Linked DNA regions of Oryzias latipes. The protein of the gene in region 2 interacts with the protein of the main gene of each other region in a biochemical or structural test. Links are inferred from orthologs where the notes say so. Each region holds a gene or a part of one and is shown on either strand. Other genes may lie near its edges. The genes, in order: ikbkg, cyld and mib2.

Evidence for each region.
Region 1: the proteins of cyld (region 2) and ikbkg form a complex in vitro, tested with the Homo sapiens proteins (3 studies listed by BioGRID, with this or other methods). The link is inferred for Oryzias latipes from reciprocal best matches to the Homo sapiens genes CYLD and IKBKG.
Region 3: of the proteins of cyld (region 2) and mib2, one has a biochemical effect on the other in vitro, tested with the Homo sapiens proteins (2 studies listed by BioGRID, with this or other methods). The link is inferred for Oryzias latipes from reciprocal best matches to the Homo sapiens genes CYLD and MIB2.

The regions. Positions count from the first base shown.
Region 1 is NC_019865.2:4,851,536-4,855,629, reverse strand, and holds the start of ikbkg (NF-kappa-B essential modulator), read left to right. Parts: upstream 1-1,294; 5' UTR 1,295-1,644; intron 1,645-2,137; 5' UTR 2,138-2,139; coding exon 2,140-2,278; intron 2,279-3,851; coding exon 3,852-4,094. Other genes in the region: transmembrane emp24 domain-containing protein 4, read right to left, coding at 1-69. UniProt on the Homo sapiens protein: Regulatory subunit of the IKK core complex which phosphorylates inhibitors of NF-kappa-B thus leading to the dissociation of the inhibitor/NF-kappa-B complex and ultimately the degradation of the inhibitor.
Region 2 is NC_019861.2:30,212,748-30,216,465, forward strand, and holds the end of cyld (ubiquitin carboxyl-terminal hydrolase CYLD), read right to left. Parts: intron 3,466-3,718; coding exon 3,333-3,465; intron 3,179-3,332; coding exon 3,070-3,178; intron 2,982-3,069; coding exon 2,863-2,981; intron 2,571-2,862; coding exon 2,354-2,570; intron 2,151-2,353; coding exon 1,966-2,150; 3' UTR 45-1,965; downstream 1-44. UniProt on the Homo sapiens protein: Deubiquitinase that specifically cleaves 'Lys-63'- and linear 'Met-1'-linked polyubiquitin chains and is involved in NF-kappa-B activation and TNF-alpha-induced necroptosis.
Region 3 is NC_019865.2:835,422-839,588, reverse strand, and holds the start of mib2 (E3 ubiquitin-protein ligase MIB2), read left to right. Parts: upstream 1-1,245; 5' UTR 1,246-1,321; coding exon 1,322-1,352; intron 1,353-3,345; coding exon 3,346-3,744; intron 3,745-4,097; coding exon 4,098-4,167. UniProt on the Homo sapiens protein: E3 ubiquitin-protein ligase that mediates ubiquitination of Delta receptors, which act as ligands of Notch proteins.

The DNA.
Region 1 (4,094 bases), on a different chromosome or scaffold from region 2:
ATAAAGCGCAGAAATCGAAGAAATCCAAGACAGAAGGAGAAAAGCTCGGGCTGCGGGAGCGGAGAGCATTTTTGTCACCTCCCTCACTTTAGCCGCTTACAGGAAGCTGCGGCCTGCTGACGTCACGAGCGTCTGCGGAAGAAGGAAAGGGGATCTTCCGGAATTTAGATTCCCTGCGCTTTACCTGACAGGCAACTTTTGACGCGGCCTAATTTTGGTGCCCAATTTTTTTTTAAAATTCCTCCAAGATGTAAACACTTCTTTATGGCTGTCTCTTCAGTTCAAACTGCTAATGTACGGTGTGCTGCTGCAAGCTAACATGTTAAATAATACAATATTGTATAAACAGATGCAAATTCTGATTATTTTGTTTTCAACATCAAATTTAACATTCTGTATACAGCACTTTTCCTACTAGAGTAACACAAAGTGCTTTTCTGACTTCAAACAATTAAAACTGAAATTATAAAACATAGAGTGCCCTCAACCCTCCCGACTGCCCACTCCCTATCTAGATGAATCCATTTAAATCCAGTTTTCCTAAAGAACTGAATCCTGTGGGAACATGAGCTGGATCCCCACATTGTTGTGTTTGTGTTACTCCCCATGTGTCATTAGCACACGGCTGGCTTTTGGTGCAGGTCAGAGGCGGCAGCTCATGTGAGAACAGAAAAACATTAGTATTGATTTTAAAAATTGGCTATTTTTACTAATTGGGGCTTTTTCAAAGTGCATACTATCAAATTATTGTCTCAGTCATGGGTCCAAAGCGCTCCAGGTTCAAGTTTTTAATCCCGTTGTCGATTCGTGGCAGACCCTCTTCATTTTATCTGTTCTGTTGTCTGGTTCCCTTCATTATTGAAGTTTTAGGATGTTTATTGCATTGATTTATTCAAGCAGTTTCTTTCATCAAGTGTCTGTTTCTTTGTGTGTGTCAACCAGTCATCCCTGATACTTGAACAAGTGTTGCAGTTTCTGCAATTTGCTTCTTCTTTGATTTTTCTGCTTTTTCTTTTTTTTTGGTATCATCACCCCCCCCCCCTAAACCTGACTTTGACTTTGCTGAGTTTGCAATGTTTTGTGATCCCACTCAACTTTCACTGTTTTATTATTTTTTTATATTTCACTGTAATATATTTGCAAGCTTTATCAATTAAAATAAAGTAGAAAATCTTATATTTATAAAACCTAATTCAGCAGGAAAACTTTACACACTTGTTCGTGCTTAAAATAAGATACTCAAACCGTTCCCCTTTCAGATCTACAAACCGGAGAACCGACACCTGAAAGGCAAAACTCAGGGTTAAAATATTCGAGGAATTTTCCGAGCTAACAACAGTCGCCTCGGCTCGGACGAAAACCCCGTAGCGAACGTGAAGCAAAGGAAGAAAAGGCCTCCTACATCCACACAGAATGTGCCTTTAAGGTTCGATAGTCTGCCAGCGTGAAGCTGTGTTTATGACAGCCGAGGAGCGAGGCCGCTTTCCCAGCCCTTCACTGCCGCATTAGCCTAGCTAGCTAAAAATTAGCCAAAATAGTGCTTCTGGACTCGTCGAGCTTCCTTCCTGGCGCAGGTTTGAGGGGGGGACTGTAAAAACTCTGGATGTGTGTTATTCTGGACAACAAAGGGAAAAAGAAGTTAAGGTAAGAGAGATCCTGTCCTTGTTTTGTTAAAATAAACTAGTATGTATGCGTCCAAACTGTTCAGAGACAGTCACGGATGTCCAAAAACCAAAAAAACATCAGTCTAGTTTGGAATTAGGTCGTTGATTTTATTTATTTTTTCTGTTAAAATCCAACTGCGTTCTCTTTACTTTCATTTTTAAAGCTATTTTAAACCCAATGTGTCTTTTATCCCGGCCTAAGGTGTGATGACGATGACGTAATGTTTTCCTTACCTGCAGTCATGTTCATGGATGACGTCCACATGTTTTTTTTTTTTTTTTTTTAGCAGAGAGGCTGAAGCCTTTAAGGAGCAGATCTGCTTCATATTTTCAACAAAAATGAGTAAAAGAATCAAAATGAAAGTGAAAGTCTGGTCCTGGTGCACATGTCAGGGCTCAAACCTGTTTCCACGCTTACGGACTGGATGTTGACTTTGACAGGTGTGTGATGATAATCCACTGTAATCCTGCAGGAATGGTCCAGCCGCAGCCCGACGGCCCCATGCAGTGGGACATGTCAGGGGAGGACAGTGGCGGGGCCCTCAGGGTCCCACCGGAGCTTGCTGGTCATGAGGTGGTGTCCAGATTACTGTGTGACAACCAGCAGCTCAGAGGTATCGCACCCACGGCTTCGCTCACACAACTTTTAACGAGGATTCTTCATCTGACCCTGTTTACGCTTTCTTTTCTTTTCAATTTCTCATCCATGACAGGAACATATTTTTTTTTTTTTTTAAAGTTAAATACATTTTAGGTCCGGCGGGGTGGAGCTCGCTTATAATCAGAGGCTGACTTCTTAAAACATTGTGGTATATATATTTTAGTTTCTGCTTTAGTTAACTCAGCTTTTTAACTGACATATTTTATACACGTAAAAGCAGAAAATAAGAGAAGCTTAATTCAAAACAAATCTATATGTGGTTTAACCATCTTTTACACTATTTTAGTTATTTACCATATTTGCCTGTTTTGTAAACGGAAAAAAATCAGAAAAACAGAAATAATTAATTATTTAGCTCCTTCATAGTTTGGACCTCTCCCTCTGGATCGGCTGCTCTTCAGCCACTGCGGCTCTGGATGGGAACCTGCATCACTGCTTAGCTGTGGTGGAGCGGTCCCCGCCTGTGATGCTGCATTTGGCTGGTTATGCGGCTGTTCACAGAAAGGGAGGTTCCAATTATTAGCGTTTCCAACATATTGTCTTCATACTTCTTTTTTATTATTATTTTTCTTTTTATGTTAATTGTTGTTTTATGTTATTTATTTTGTTTTGTTTTAATGTAAATCACTTTGTGTTATACTTTTATATGAAAAGTGCTTTATAATTAAAGTTTGATTGATTTATAGACCCACTCTGATGAAAATTAAAAATTTTTTTTTTTTTTTTTTTTTTTATCATCTTCTCAGATGTCTTAGAAAATTTAGCTTGCAGGGTATTTCTTTATTCAAATTGTTGTGAATCAGGAGTGTGTGGTGAAATGCTGTTTGACAAAGAGCTTATTTGTGATGTAGAAAATATGATTGGCGGGCCACAAACTTCCTGCTCCGCTCCATTCTGATGCATCCACTTGCAGACAAATAGATCCATGTGCGTCTTTGTTTTCCTCGTCTGAGCTGGAATCTGGATCTAAACTGGACGGATGGATAGCTCCAATATTTCTCAGCATTTTTGTCACTCCGGTAGTGTTAGGTTGGGGGTGTGAGGGGCTGTAAGCTAGCAGGAAAACGGGTAAACAGGTGAGTGACGGGAAGTTGGGGCAGGCTTACTCCACGTCAACAGTCCCGCCCACAACTCAGAGGTCAATTTTTGATGAATCGCTGCCACTCTGCAGGAATTATGTCCTTGAAAATGGCAGTCTTTTTAGATTATGGCTAAAAGTGGCCGCATTATATCAAAAAGACCACTGAGAACGTGTTTAAAAATAGATCAAAAGATGATCGGAGTGGGTCTTTAAAGGATATTTTTGGTTAAAATGGAGTGACGGATACTTCAAGCTGCCCTGAACGCACACAGGAAGTTGGTTTCATGTCTAGCAGATGTAAATACACATTCAGATGTGGTAAATGCTGTCTCTTCTATCTGTGAATAGTATCACAGCATAAGAACAGAGTCAGGGCAGCAAAGTTTGGATAAACTTCTGTGTGAGACCGAAAGACGAAAGTCGTACTTTATGTTTGCTCCTCCAGAGGCACTGCGGAGAAGCAACCAAGCTCTCCGCCTGCGCTGTGAAGAGATGGAGGGATGGCAGCAAAGAACCAGAGACGAGCGAGAGTTTTTGAGCTGTCGCTTCCAGGAGGCCAGGGCCCTCGTGGAGAGGCTGGCGCAGGAAAACCACTCGCTGAAGGTCACGGCGAACGGACCAGGCTCCTCCCCGTCTTCCGGTCTGTCCTGCAGCTCAAGTCAGACTGAAGACCTGCAGGGACGCCCGG
Region 2 (3,718 bases):
CTTCAAGGTTTGATGGAAGGATTCATAAATGTCCAAGCCAAACGTAAAGTGCACCCTTCAAAACAAACTTTATTTTGTTAACATTTACAAGAACATCACTGACATTAATGTTCCATTCGTTACATATACATCTACACTGTACAGATGCAACAGAACAAAAACAGACACAAAGTCTCTTCTTCTCTGTGGTGTTGCAGGGAGCGGAGCTCCGGTCAGCGGCGAGCTTCAGCAGCACTAGAAAAGTTCAAATTCCTGTCAGAAGCTCTGCAGCTGTGGAGCAGAGCGCTCAGCCCAACCCTTCAGTCGTTTACAAATCGCCTTCACCGTTCTTCCTAAGTCAAGGTTCCTCAAGTGTTTGCGTAGATAAATAAAATTTGAAAGCTAACAAGCTTTTCCGATCAATTTCTTACTGTGGCAAACTGGAATAAAATGGAATCAAAATGTTCCGTTTTTATTTCATTTTCATTTTTTTTTATAAAACTTCTTTAAATATGTATTTGTAAATATATATGCCCAAAGGTCTCCCCCCCTTGTGCCTCTTCATTTGTCCTCAGTTGCTAACTGCTCATTGTGTCTCCATGAACATTCAGTAGTTGTTGTAGGACAACCTAAAGTTTAATACTCACTTAAATATACAGTGAAGGACAAGATATACCCAAGCCTAGCAGTATCACTGACCCTGTTTTTGTCACGTATTGAACTATTATTTCAGAGAAATCGGTGACATGACGAGAGCGCAATAAATAATATTTGAACGCAACTGTTTTGCTGTCAGACGCCAAGCTGTAAAAACTGTCACGCTGTGATAAAAGGCAGCGGAGGGTCGATACTTGCTTCTGTTGGGAATCAGTCCTGCCAGGACAGGCAGAGGAGGAAAAAAAAAAAGGCTTTGTAAACAAAAAAACATCATTTAGATTTTCTCATTAACAGAATGAGCACGACACTGCACTTCCTCACACTCTTACCTTTTAAAGAAACACGCTTTTTGCAGTTTTTCACCTCATTGACCCTACGAGCGCTCCGGAAACCAGCTTTACTACAGAAGCCGTTGTGCAAGTCTCTCGTCATGCTTTTTATCTGGTCTGCAGGAGCCGTGCAGGCCATTCATGACGGCTACAGCCGAGGGGCAGACATGACTGAGATGGACACTTACAGGTGGGGGGGGGGGGAACAAAAATGCTGATGTGAGACTTTTACAATGGCCAACACCCTATTCTGTAAAACACACACTGTAAGGACGTTTACACAGCGTGATGAAGGCGTAGAAGAACCGGTTCACAAAGAGCCCAGTGGTCTGGTTTAAATGCGACTGACTGCACAGCTAGTTGACGTCTATATTGTTGGTGTTACAGTCTGGAGCTATCTATGCTACTTAAAGAGATTTTACATAAATGTTCTATAACGGCACAAACACATGGAGGTTTGCACACAATGTCGCTTCCTTAATGTGCACCACGGAAACTCCCGTCCTGAAGAGTGATTAAGAATAACAGGTCTCCCTTTTTTCTTTAAGGTAAATGAGGTGAGCAAGGTCCTCCCACAAGCACATTTTATTTTGTTTTGTAGGCCGCTGCCGTGCAAAGTCTCCTCTGCTTGTGTCTCCTGCCTCCCCGTTCAGGGAGTGGATCCTCATAATGCCTACCCCTTTGTTTTGCTAACACCCAGCGATGCTCAGCTTCCAGACACAAGAAAGCTACATAGGACTACATAAAAGAAACAACACTTCAACTAATGCACAGTGCAAATAGGCATCTCCCGCTCCTTTCCATCTTCCCAGCCTTCAGAAACGAGAAGGCATGGAGGCGAGGTGAGGTTAGGAGGTTTTCGTGGACCGTGCCCCCGATAGCAGGCAGCTGTTCTATTAGTTTATCTTTCGCTTTTTGGTCTCTTTGAATCTGCTGGCCTGGGGGAGATGGAGGCTGAGTGGCAGGGGATGACAGGTAAAAAGGTTGAGGGAGCAGAGTTTTACTTGTACAGGCTCATGGTGGGGCTCTGGTACATGCACATGTAGGCGTCGCAGAGCAGGCGGCGCGCCTGGCCCTGGATACTCTTGGGGTCGAGAGTGTGCAGCTCTTCCGGAGACATTTTCAGGTAGGTCTCCACCTCGGGGCACGGAGACACCTGGGGGATGTTGAAACCGTTCTGGCCCCCTGCAAAGCCACAGGAAACGGTTAGAAGCAGCAAATTCAACATGGTATGAAATGATTATTTTTCATCCGACTCTAAATGCCTAAAGTGATTTTAAAAACAGCAAAACTACGACTGAGTATGGACAAATGTTTTCTCACAAATCCAGTTCTACTGGCTTATAATTGGAAGAAATTCTATACAAATAATTTTTTCTGAAACCCACCGTCGCGGTCAGCCATACTGTCGAAGAAGAGCCAGGCGGAATCTGCGGTGCCGTACTTGACGAAGGCCACGTAGTGACTGGTCTCGATGCATAGCACAGCGAACAGCTCCATCCTCTGGCGGGGAAAGCCGCCCTGACGCCCCGTACCTTCTTGCAGCTCCTTGGGGACGGACAGTTTGCCATGTCGATGGGCTTTCCTCTTTGGGTGGAGGTGAACCTAGACCAGCGGGATCAGATAAACTCCATTACACATAGAATGCGTTGCTGTGGTCGGGTAAGGGGAAATAAAAAGCATCTCAACGGGTTTTTATGGGGCATGCAGATGGGAATCGCAACTCTAATGCAATCACTGCTGTGAGATGTGTGTAATAGTGCAGTGAAAAAGCCATTTCCCTGAAACTCCTCATCACTGAGACTGCCATTTGTTTGGATTTGGCACCACCACATGGGGGAATACTGACACGAACATTCCCACTTCTGCTCTGGTGAGGGCGCCCTCTAGAGTTTACCTGTGTATTACACTTTTCACAGAACTGTTTAATCTTGCCGGCGGTGATGTCCCCGTCGTCATAACAGTCTCTGCACTCGTAGAACGCCAGGCCCCCGCAGATACGACATTCCCTCGGAGCTGTACGGCAAAAGCAAACCTTACCGGCTGAGAATTCCTGTCAAATGTCACGTCACAGCGACCGCTTTAAACTACAAGAGGAACTCACTGTCTTCAAGAAGATCCGTGATGTCCAACTCTAACGAAGGAAAAATCTTGTTGAACATTTTGAAGTCCTTGCCAAAGCGGGGCATCTGGATGATAAGGCAGGAGGGAGCCTTGGCGAGTTGGAAAAAGACAAAGCATCAGCTAATGAAGTCCTCACCACAACAGCACTGACATGTTCACACAGCTGCAAGCACAACCCAAAATCCGGATGCACTGCTTTTCTTCACGTGTTTCACCCATATGTAGTGTAAAAGAGATGAGCACCTCTGCAAACTTTAGGTCACTGTTGATGAAGGACCACTCTAAAAGCTGCTGGATGGTTGGAACTCCAACCTTGTCTTTCTTGTCCATGAAGATCTGGTAAAAGTAACAGTCCTGGACCTTCTGACCTGCTGATCTAGAAAGGTGATCAGATGAATCCGTTATTATCGTACTCCGTCTCCCACACTCCCACAATATTGACTCAAGATCAGAATTCTTCAAAACATTACACCGGAAAACGACAGTTAATCTTAATAATCAGAGAATTTTATTCAGCTGCTTCAGGTTTTTTCTTTTCTTTTTACCACAGAAGCTCCTCCCTCTTCTCACCTCAGTATTAAGCTTTTTTTATTACAGATTCTTTGAAAAATCTAAAGTATTTCTTAGTT
Region 3 (4,167 bases), on a different chromosome or scaffold from region 2:
ACGCGTGGTCGATGTCCTCTGCCCGGGGGGGGGGGGCACCAAAGTGATCTCCAGCCCCCCTCACCGTGTCCTGATCCAGAAGAATTCTCACCGCCATGCAGAAATGTTGCAGCAGCATGGGGGGCACGCGGACCCCCCAGGGCTGGAGCCTGCAGGCAGAGCCCGCTGGCCTGTTTACACCAACGTCAGGACGCGGCGAGCTCGCCGTGGCGCGTCCTTCCTCTGCTGCATGGTGGTAATCCCTGCTGACACACCACAGAGGAACAAATGCTGCATCCTCTCGCTACAGGACGCCGCTCCGCTGTCAGTGTGCATCCAGCATCCCAACGCCTGTTTTCCCGGACCCCCCACCCCTGGGTTCACTGTTGGAGAGCAGCACAGAGGGGCTTCAGCTTTTCCCTCCTTCAGATCAGAAAGGTTTTTATTTTTAGCACAGCTTGAAGCTGCTGGAGAGCGTCTGAGTAGTGGAGAGGTTGGAGCTGCTTCCTCTGATTCATGTTGTGATCGGTTTCTGTGTTCATCTCCATAGCAACAGGTAAACCGCCCAATCAGACCAGCCGCTTTCCCACTCCCTGCAGCTGCAGGAAGCTGTTTGCATGCCTTTTAATATTTGTTAATTTTTCATCCTGTTTTAAAGAGACCTTTATGCGACCTCTTTAGAAAAGACTGCGGGGTCACCTCGCTCCTCGCTCAGAGGCGGCGCCTCCTCATCAAACATGCCGGTGAGCCCGTGTTGTGGTCAGGCGTGTTTGGCGTGTTTTATACTCTCTCATCTCTGGGACAGACATGGGGATCACATGACCGCGGGACTCGGCAGACTTCACTCTGAATCTTTTTCATGTTTGAGTCTTTGTGACACAAAACAACGCTAAGGATATAAATAAAGTTTTATTTGAAGAGTTTCTATAATTGAGCAACTATTGCTTTTGATGTGACGTTTGATGGAACCTTTTTGGAACCGGTACCACAGCGAAGAACTCATCACACCTTCCAGCTGTTGAGGTTCTGTTGCTAAGTTTGAGCGGTTCGATGAGAGAACATTTCCCACAATGCTCTTCTTCCTGATACGTTTGCCTGAAGCACAGTCCACTCAGAAGATTGGCTCTCTGCTTGTTTGTTTTTCCCTGGGGGGGGGGGGGGGGGGGGGGGGATAAAACCAGTTTGTTCCAAAGCTAAGCCCAAAGTTCACAGTTAACCAAATAGTGCATTTGGACTGGGGGAGGTCCACTTCCCTGCTGGGGGGCTTCAGGTTCTTTTGCCCCTGAACTGCAGAGATTAGCAGAAGTGAGCTGTGGGGACAAACAGGAAAAGAGCTGCTGGCATGTTCAAGAGTGGGCTGAGGACCATGGGGAGTGAGTACACGCATGTTCTTCTTCCCAGGAAGACCCGGCGCTGCTTTAGGGCAGAACCGGGTCTGGTTTAAGGGAGAACCGGGTCTGCTTAATGGCAGAACCAGTTCTATCCAAGAGCAGAACCGGGTCTGGTTTAGGACAGAACCGGGTCTGCTTTAAGGGAGAACCGGCACATTCCCAAATGATCCAGGAAACTTCCAGAAACCTCCACCCTCCTCTCAAGCTCCATCATCAGAGAGCAAACCATCTTTGAACGCGGTCCAGAAGAACCATGACGTTCTGTGGACCCGGGGGGGGGGGTGGGCACGCGTGCAGGAATCTGCATGTTTGATGAAGGTTTAGCAAGTCTTCATCATCCAGAGGAGTCTGCACCGACCTGCTGCAGAGATTTCATCTGTTTGGAGTAAAATAAAAGTTAAAATAACTTCAGAATATTCTGGAAAAAGTCTTCCTTAAAAAAGAGACAAGGACCAAAAAAACGGATCCAGACGGGATCCAGTTTCATCCTCTGAAGACCAAGAGCAGAAGAAGGAACGGTACCGCAGCAGCAAAAGCTGAGTCTTTTTCCTGAATCGTTGGTTTTCCACACTAAAGTTTAACAAAACTTTTGTTACGGGGACTGACTTTATTTTCTACCATTACAAGTTGGAATTGATGGGAAATTCTAGAACCCAATTAAAGCTGTTTATAATGGCCCCCCATGGTGTGTTCAGGTGAATGACCATTTACCTGACTGGTTACGGCGTAAAGCAGGGAGGTGTCCCGTCTCCTACATTATTTGCCATTTTTATTAACAGTTTGCTAGATGAAGTTAAAGGAGCAAATGTTGGTGTTGATGTGGGGGATTTAAAGAGTCTATACTGCTGTACGCTGATGACATAGTGCTTCTATCAGGAAAAGAAACAGATCTTCAGATTATGTTAAATCAGGTTTTTATGTGGTGGACTAAGATGAGAATGAAGATAAAATGTAAACAAACCCAAGTTATTTATTTCAGCAGTAAGTGTCATCTGCTAACACGTTTTTAAATTTTGTTTTGGTTTAGCAACTTTATCCTTAGTTAAAACCTATAAAATCCCTGGGACTTATTTCAGATGAACATCTTGCATGAAGGAATCAGTGTCAGAGTCAGCGGGACGAGCCTGAGGAGCTGTGGTAAATAAAACCACAAGCCACCCGTTTCTGCGGGCGGAGCGCCGTGATCCCGTCTGTTTGCCCTCTGCTGCAGACCGCCACGACCCAGCAGAGCGAGGGTCATCTCCTGCACAAAAACACAGAGCCATGTCCACTAGAGAGACCTGACCTGCATCACAGCTGCTGCTACAGCCACACCTGTTGTCTCTAATCCAACTGTGTCTAGTTAATATTTGAATGTGTCCAAATCTGCATGAATCTACCGGTAAATCTGTTTTTGCTCACAGACAGGAAATGCCTCGCTTTCCTGTTCCTCTCATGTTTCTGAAGCCTTTTCCTCGTCGGCTGGCTTTCAAACAGAACCGCGTTCAGAAATACGGCTTTTGAAAACGAGTCTCACAGAAACATCTGGGTGGAGGGCAGCACTGAGGACGTGCTGAGGACATGAGCGTGTTTCTGGGGGGTCGGGGCATGATCAGTGCAGCCGGGCAGAGCGGCCCACTCCAGCTGCTCTCCAGAAGTGTGCCGTGATGCTCGGCAGCCCTCCACCAGCAGGGAAAAAGGAATTCCACTGCGATCCCACGCCGCCAAACACTGATATTGCAGTTTGCCTGTTGGCCAGATGTGGGGGTGAATCCTGAGGGGTTCACGCGTTTGCTCATGGAAAGCGGGGCAGGGTATCAGAGGGTCCCGCCTTCTTTCTTCATCACTTTGTGGTCTTTATTCATCTTCAGCACCAGCAGCAGTGAGGGGGGGGGGTGTTCAGGGACTCATCTTCATGCTGATACACATCAGATGAACTCTGGGCTGATGATGAAACAGCTTTTTTCACCGCATGGCTCCAAACGTGTCTCCGCAGTAACCCCCGATCTGTTCCCGGAAACCACCCTGCTGCCGTCTCTGCCCGCCATTCCCTCGCCACGAACCAGCTCTGCGGCCCAGCAGCTGCGGCGGCGCAGAAGCAGCGTAGGGTACGCCGCCTCCAAGCCCCTCCCCCTGGGCTCGGCCTGCAGGAGAGGCCCCCATAGGGGCAGCATGGAGGTGGGCATGCGCGTTGTGCGTGGCCTGGACTGGAAGTGGGGTAACCAAGACGACGGGGAGGGGCACGTGGGCACGGTGGTGGAGATCGGTCGACAAGGCAGCACCACCACCCCGGATAAGACGGTGGTGGTCCAGTGGGATAGCGGCACACGGACCAATTACCGGACCGGGTACCAGGGCGCCTTTGACCTGCTGCTCTATGACAACGCTCAGATCGGTAAGCATCCTGACCGGAAGAGACGTGCTTCTGAATTCAAATGTCTTTTAAAGGGTTTGAAGTTCATTCTATGCTGCTGCACCACCCAGGCTCATGAAATGTACATCGTCAGTTTGTTCTGCAGAAAATATACTCGATGTTTCTCCTTGTGAACAGAAAGAGAAAGGGTTCAAAGGTCGTTGTGGTCTCTGAGTGATGGTGCAGCCCTGCAGATGTTTTCTGAGAACATGATGCTGCAGGCGTCAGCCGCCGTCCTTCGTGTCCTTCGGTTCCAAAAGTTACGGATTCATAAATTCAGTGGAGAAAACAGAAGGTTTACTAAACGCCTCTGCTCTTGTTTCTGCTCTTCGTAGGGGTGCGACACTCCAACATCATATGTGACAGCTGTAAGAAGCACGGCATCATGGGAATGCGATGGAAGTG